2 linked regions of the Saccharomyces cerevisiae S288C genome follow. The gene in region 2 interacts genetically with the main gene of each other region. Each region holds a gene or a part of one and is shown on either strand. Other genes may lie near its edges. The genes, in order: RAS1 and ALK1.

The links.
Region 1: of ALK1 (region 2) and RAS1, changing one suppresses a phenotype caused by changing the other (phenotypic suppression), as found in Saccharomyces cerevisiae (one study listed by BioGRID).

What each region holds. Positions count from the first base shown.
Region 1 is NC_001147.6:513,112-516,673, reverse strand, and holds RAS1 (Ras family GTPase RAS1), read right to left. Parts: upstream 1,431-3,562; coding exon 501-1,430; downstream 1-500. Other genes in the region: OST2 (dolichyl-diphosphooligosaccharide-protein glycotransferase), read left to right, coding at 1-225; CRC1 (carnitine:acyl carnitine antiporter), read left to right, coding at 2,396-3,379. UniProt on the Saccharomyces cerevisiae protein: The S.cerevisiae Ras proteins modulate the activity of the adenylate cyclase catalytic subunit and therefore affect the biosynthesis of cyclic-AMP.
Region 2 is NC_001139.9:453,218-457,567, reverse strand, and holds ALK1 (protein kinase ALK1), read right to left. Parts: upstream 2,784-4,350; coding exon 501-2,783; downstream 1-500. Other genes in the region: GET complex subunit GET1, read left to right, coding at 1-405; dolichyl-diphosphooligosaccharide--protein glycosyltransferase subunit STT3, read right to left, coding at 3,008-4,350. UniProt on the Saccharomyces cerevisiae protein: Serine/threonine haspin-like protein kinase involved in cell cycle regulation.

The sequences.
Region 1 (3,562 bases), on a different chromosome or scaffold from region 2:
TTAGGGGTGATCCAGTGTACATTCATTATCTTGATCCGTGATAATTTTCCATTCAATGCGTTTTTAGCGGGATTCATTATTTGTGTGGGACAATTCGTCCTATTGATGAGTTTGCGGTTACAATTGTGTAATAGTTTTCCAGGCATTTCTAAAAACAGAGCTTTTGCCGAGTTTATTGTTGCTAGTTTGATTTTACATTTCGTTTGTTTACATTTTATAAATTGAGGAAGGGTTTGCCGGCGTGCTTGCATGCATGCTTGTATGTGTATAGTATATATACTTTGTACGAGAATAAAAGAACATATTACAATTGTACATTATAGAAAGCTTACAAAAGGTGGCAGATTAACCATTAGTATTAATGTTTGGTGGCAAGCAACTCTTTTACTAGATACACAGCATAGGAAAATGGATACAAAAAGATGCTGGTGAAACCAATTGAACAAGTAAGAATAGACTTGCAATCAAAACCATGTCATATCAAGAGAGCAGGATCATTTTCAACAAATTATACAACAACCACCACTAGATTCTTTTCTAGCGTTGGCGCTTGAATTTTTTTGTGGCTCAGCAGACTGTTTACTTCTCGAATTTAAGGCATTATTTTGATTACCACGACTAATATCACTTCGATTTCCGTTGCCGTTACTGGAGTACTTGGTATTTCCTTCATTGTTATTGTTTTGATTAACGTAATTCTTTTCATCAGTTCGTTTAGTAGTTTCACCGTTATGGTTAACGGCTGACTTTGAACTGGAGCCAGTGCCAGCATTGGTCAAAGAATTATCGAGTACATAAGACCCGTTGTTCTTTTTTTCTCTATCCGCTGTTGCAGATGAGGTTAGCTCCGAATCTCTTATTTCATTCGTATTATCCAGTTGACGATTCATGCTATTGTATTTCCCACCGTCGTCCCTTACCAAACGAATAAGGCTATAAAAGGCCTCGTCTACGTTGATGGCTTGTTTCGCAGACGTTTCTAGAAAGGGTGCATTCAACTGCTTGGCCAGGCGTAACCCGTCTTCATAAGAGACTTGTCTTTCATTTTCAAGGTCCAATTTGTTACCTACCACGACTACAGGAATGTAGTCAGAATCTTTTACTCTTTGAATTTGCTGATAATAAGACAGTAACTCATCAAAGGAATTTCTAGAGGTGACGGAATAGACCAGTAGGAAACCTTCCCCAGTCCTCATGTACTGTTCTCTCATCGCAGAATACTCTTCTTGTCCAGCAGTATCTAGAATGTCCAAAATGGATACTTTGTCATCGATGACAACTTGTTTTCTGTAAGAATCTTCGATAGTAGGGTCATATTCGTCCACAAAGTATGATTGAATGAATTGAATTGTTAAAGCAGATTTACCAACGCCACCTCCACCGACAACTACTATCTTATACTCTCTTATAGTTGATTTATTTCCCTGCATGTCGTTCTAAAAAGGGAAAATTTTGTTTACCTGTTCAATCGTGAAATAGCCAAACCGAAGTCAATTGTGGCAGCAGTTAATTAAGCATTGCAAGAAAGAACAAGACAGATGATAATAGAGACACCGTACAAGAAAGAATCCAAATTAAGAGAACCATACAAAGACATAAAATATAAACCTTTCAATGTAAAACAAAAGGAGGAAAAAACCTGAAAAGCCGTGAAAAATTCATAATCTTGCGATGAGTTGAAAAAGTTTGTTGTCAAATGTCCATAGACTTACATGTAGTAAATATTTTTGGTTTCTTTTTTTTTCTTCGTGCTTTTTTTTTTTCCTACGGGTTTACATTGTGCCAATGTGAATTTCCCCGCCACTCCCTACCGAACGGGTAGCAGCGTAGAACATAGCGATCAAGGGTGTGCTAAGTGAAGAAGCAATTCAGTGCGGGTAATACATATTCCTAGCCTCGTTTGCCGTTACATTGCATTGATGGTACAATAAAGGGCATGCTTTATATCGAGATGTTTCAGTGTATATGAGGGGAAACAGAAAAGAGTCATTCCTGCCATTTTTTGGTCACTGCTTTTTCTGCTATGAGTAATGGTGAAGTTCCTTGTGGCTACACGCTTAATGTCATCGGGTTACTGCTCCTAATATCCGCATATAAGCTTTATGCAGGGATCAGTTGGGCGGCTATTTATCTACACCCAGTCATCCGGCGTGACTGGATCTCCACTTGCCGCAATAAGTCGGTGGACAAATGGAGATTTAAGAGTAAAGATGCATGATGGTATAATTCCTTTAGTCGAAATAGATATATTTCAAGCGCATATATAGGCAGACGCTTGTACTGTAGAAATAGCCGATATTCAATTGCGCTCTATGTGTGTTTTTATTCCAGGTTTTCCTTGGATTCTACGTATTGTACGACTTTCTTATCCTCCACAAACGTCATCGTGTCAGTAATGTCTTCAGACACTTCATTATCAGAATCTTCATTATTGAAAGAAGAGAGTGGGAGCTTGACCAAGTCTCGTCCACCTATAAAATCAAACCCTGTACGCGAAAATATCAAATCATTTGTGGCCGGTGGAGTTGGCGGGGTATGTGCGGTGTTTACGGGTCATCCCTTCGATTTGATTAAAGTGAGATGTCAAAATGGACAAGCGAATTCCACGGTACATGCCATTACAAATATTATAAAAGAAGCAAAAACTCAAGTAAAGGGCACATTATTTACCAATTCCGTAAAGGGGTTCTATAAAGGTGTTATCCCGCCCTTATTAGGTGTTACTCCCATATTCGCTGTTTCTTTCTGGGGTTACGATGTGGGTAAGAAACTGGTTACTTTTAATAACAAGCAAGGAGGCAGTAACGAGTTAACTATGGGACAAATGGCTGCAGCAGGATTTATCAGCGCTATTCCTACCACTTTAGTGACTGCGCCAACGGAAAGAGTAAAGGTTGTCCTGCAAACATCTTCTAAGGGCTCTTTCATTCAGGCGGCTAAAACCATTGTTAAAGAAGGTGGCATAGCTTCTTTATTTAAAGGTTCATTAGCCACTTTAGCAAGAGATGGGCCTGGCTCAGCTCTATATTTTGCATCTTATGAAATTTCAAAAAATTACTTGAATAGTAGGCAACCTCGTCAAGATGCGGGCAAAGATGAACCGGTCAATATCTTGAACGTGTGTCTTGCTGGTGGTATTGCTGGTATGTCGATGTGGCTAGCTGTTTTCCCCATAGACACTATAAAGACAAAATTGCAGGCTTCCTCCACGAGGCAGAATATGCTTTCCGCCACAAAGGAAATTTATCTACAAAGAGGTGGTATCAAGGGATTTTTCCCTGGTTTAGGTCCTGCTTTACTAAGATCTTTCCCAGCCAATGCGGCCACATTTTTAGGTGTGGAGATGACTCATTCACTGTTCAAGAAGTATGGCATATGATTAAATTTTTGTTAGGTGGACCTGCCTCCCATTTTTTTCTGGCATTCCTTTTGGGAACTTTTTGTTATTTTTTGGTTCTGCAATTTCGTTCAGTGTATGGTAGAAAATATCAGTTGGGTTATCCCGGTTTCCTTGGCGTTGTTGTCGAAGCGTTCATATTTGTAACGCAATGGAGTAAATATA
Region 2 (4,350 bases):
AAACTCAGGTTATTGGCATTGACGGTGCCATTTTTTGTGTTTAAGATTATGTACGGCAAGACACCAGTTTACAAGTTGAGTTCCTCGACTAGCACCTTGTTCCCTACGTTTGTAAGTGGTGTTTGGTCTCAAGGCTGGTTATATGTTCTCTTGCATCCTCTAAGGACTATTTCTCAGAAATGGCATATAATGGAGGGCAAATTTGGTGCTTCCAAGTTTGATGATATGGCTTTACAGAGTGTCTCTTTGGGAATCTGGGTTTGGGCATTGATGAATGTCATCAACGGCGTGGAATTTATCGTTAAGCAATTGTTTTTGACTCCCAAAATGGAAGCACCTGCATCTGTGGAGACTCAAGAGGAGAAAGCCTTGGATGCTGTCGACGATGCCATTATTTTAGATTAGTGTTATTACATTATGTACGTATATATAATATGTTTATGTATTGGAGTATACAATAGAAAGAAAATGAAATATAAATGTCAACATTCCTATTTGTTTTATTTATAAAGTTTTAGTAAATCTCCAGTATTCTTAATGTCCTCCGTCTCCAATCTTTTGAATAACTGCCCCCCTCTTTTATGAACTGCCAAGTTCATTTCCAAATGGTTTATCACCCTTGCCATTTTATCCCTGTTTGCATCATTCTTACCAAGCTTCCTGTCACCAAACTTTAGTAAAACGCGTGACAGGTAATATAACCAATACAAATTTGTCATGGGCTCAAAAGCTGACGCGTCCATGTTCAACAAGATCCGCATACTTTGATAGATTTCAAACTCAAATTGATACTGGTATTCGTTTATTTTACTCTTGTCTTTCCCATTTAGAAAAAAGAGTGGATGATCTAGCCGTAGATATAAAACATCATCTTGAGGAGTTTGCAATCTACTGCATTTAAAATCAATAATTGTTATATTCCCATTACCATCTATCAAAATATTATCCAAAGTAAGATTACGATGTTCAAATTTCAAATTTTTTTCCAACCCATGAATTATACCAGCACAAGACCAAAAAATCTTTAGAATCTGCTTCCAGTTTTTCAGTGAGATTAACGAAATTGGGGTACCGTGATCTTTGAATAGTAAGTACAAATACAACCCCCCATTTGCCTCTTTAACAACAAAACTTTTCAATAGTTGCGGTATGCCATCAAATTTTTGTTGCATGATTTTGAGTTTTTCCAGTTCCTGCAAAGATAAGAACTTTCTATCCCATGTAATGTCATCAATAGTACCGAGAGAAACTTTTTTACAGATTACTTCACCAATTTGCCAAACATTTGATGTTAATTGTATTGATGACAAATGGTTTACATCGTTGATTAAAGGCAATACATCTCCTTTTGCGGGGTTTAAAATTCTCTTTATATCACAATTTAGTAAAATCTGTCTTAGAAGTGTCTCATCATGATCATTTTTGTTCATCGGTAAAGATGATTTAGAATTTAATGAGAGTAATGAGGTCGAATATCTTAATTTGTTCTGAATTTTATCACGGGAAACTTGGTCCGGTACAGGTAACGATATTCGGTGACTCAACGTAGAATTTTTGGAACTGTAGCTACAAGAGTCATCATTGCTGCTATTAGTTGCTGTCGATGGTGCTATCATGGAGGACTTTCCTTTGTTTCTTTTGAATTTTTGTAAGGATGCATGTGAACTTTTGTGCTTCAAACTTGATTGCGAATTCCTTTTCTTCAACACGTTCAAAGATAGACTTGAGGAAGAAGCTTTGTTTTTCAAAGTAATTTCCATGGAAGATATTGTATCGCTGCTTTCAGAATACGTATTTGAACTGAAGATAGTCTTATGGAAATCTGAAAAGGATGTCTTATGTTTTACCATATTTCTTGGTTCAACGGGCGTCATGGAATCACGACGGTTTACTGCAGGAAAGGTTTTTAAAGAATGGTGGTCTGGTTGCAACAATGCAGGTGTCTGGTTCTTATTTCTCTTCCAGAATCTCCATTTAGACGAGCTGGAAGAAGAGACAGTGGAAGAAATCGACGATCTTCTCGAGGACAATGATGCATTATATAGTGGTTGTTGCTGTTGTGGTTGTGAAGTGGGCCTTTTAGAATGATTAACAAGCGGCTTCAATGGTGTCCTAAGTCTGTTTTCCGAACTAGTGGAAGCAATTGATGAATTTTTTTTGCCCATAGTTGGAGGCAGATTTTCCTTACCTTGCGGAATCCCGATCCCAGGTTGTGATATATCATCGTTTATGCCTATCTTGGTAAACAATTGTCTGAGGGAAAGACCAGTGGACGATCTTTTCAAAGAAGAAGAAGCAGAGATAGAGCTATTAGATGCTACCGTATCTAAGCTTGAATAACTCTGCAAGGATTTTCTTTTTTGTTGCAAAACGTTCCTCGATTCCCTGTCCTTATGAGATTCACTGGTAAAGCTTGAAGAAAGTACAGACCATCTTTTCTTAGATTTAGATGATGAAACAGCAGAATGATTGGATAATAGAGACCATCGTTTTTTGGAATTGGAAGTCGTTTTCCTTGATGTATTATTGCCGGTGGTAACATTTAAAGATGCATCAGACTCCCTCATCTTTAAGATAGCAGAGCTTTCCAGCTCGTCAGCTGTGTCAGCAGTCAAATCAGTGTCACAATCGTCATCATTATCAGATACCTCTAGAGCAATGAATCGTTTATCTTCGACAAATTCTTCGAACGACGTTTCAAAATCCATGGGGGGCTCTACTTGGTGCGATTTAAGGGTATGACTTGATAGTAATTGAATTACAATGTCAAAATGAAGTAGCATTTAGAAAAACTACTTCACATCAAATACTTAATAAATAAAAATAAACATTGATAAAGTTGTTATTTTTTCTATTGTTATTTTGTTTACGTTTTACCAAAAAGGGCAAAGACGATCCGTCACGAGCGATCATAATAACGGGAAGGGAAACCAAACTTATACTTATTTGTTTATCTTTTTATATATGTATATTTTATCTTAGTCATTTCCTTTAATGTGTGGCCAATTTAGACTCTCAAGCCTAATTCAGGTCTCTTTATGGACCTTCTGGTTTTCGTAGAAGACCTGGTTAACTCACCAACGTCCCTCAAAGTTCTACCTTGGGCATCATCCTTCTTCAATTGATATATTCTAACCATCCAGTTTTCGGAAGTAAAAACTTCGTCGAAGTAGTCTAATGGTGGGACGTCTAATGGTGTGATCATTTGTTGACGCACTCTGTCAGTGGCTTGGCCACCATTGAATAATTGTGGGAAATCTTTGTAGGACATCTTGTAAAGTAGCGAGTTCCTCATGGTCTCAGAAGCCCTTGCATCTACTCTGTATTCTCCCTCTGCGGTATAGAAATCACGCTCTTTTATCTCTTCTGGCCAGATTCCCTCGCTAATTCTGATCATCCACAAGAATTTGTTGATGTCATCACCACCAAACCCAATTAGACCACCAAAGATGACCAAGACATAATCGACATCATGCTCTTTTAGAATTTCGTAAGATTTCTCTTCAGGGGAAGCCATGGCTTTACCAACGATGGCGATGTGAGTATTGTTCCACGTGTTGTTATCGACTAAAGTGGTTCTGTCTGCCATGCCACCAATTTGGTAACCGTAATCCCACCACGCTGCAACCTTACTGTCCTCATCAGAGTTCATTCTTAACCAATAGTACGCTTCCCTGAAGTCGTCGATCAACGCCAATTTACCATCTGGGGTTTGTGATGGCAAAACAACAGAAGGAGAAGAGTATGCAGTTCTTGTTACCCAAGTAGAATGGAAGACGAAAAGATACAAATAAAAGATGAATGATCCGGAAACAATCAATTTGGCCAGTAGTGCCGCAGGTTTGATGGCGTATTTGCGGTCACTTGTCTTGAAATCCAGGTAGATGTCAAATATCTTGGACAATGCGACGGCGGCGGACACACAGATGACTGGTGTCAAAGTCAACATCAATCTAACCATAACACCGGCAAAGTACGAACACAGAACGGAGTAAGCGATGACAAAAACGTGCTCGTCTTTCAAGTCGAGGAATAGTAGGAATACACCGGCGGGGAATAGCCAGATCAAAAAGTGGGTATCAAAGAAGAAAGCGGGCCACGAAACGGGTTGATGTTCGGAAACGGAGGCAATGATAGGAATGTGGATCTTTGCGTAGTTGGTATCCCATAACGAATAAAATCTACCAGTCCAAGGGGCAATCAACCCCATATAGGTCAAGGCAGAAAGTCCGACCACACCAAGGACCAAGATCAAAAACAGAGAAACCATCATGATGACTTTAAACTTAGCTGTGCTGATTTGGCCCTTCACGAAGTCACCGAAGGCGACAATCTGAATCAAACCGAAAA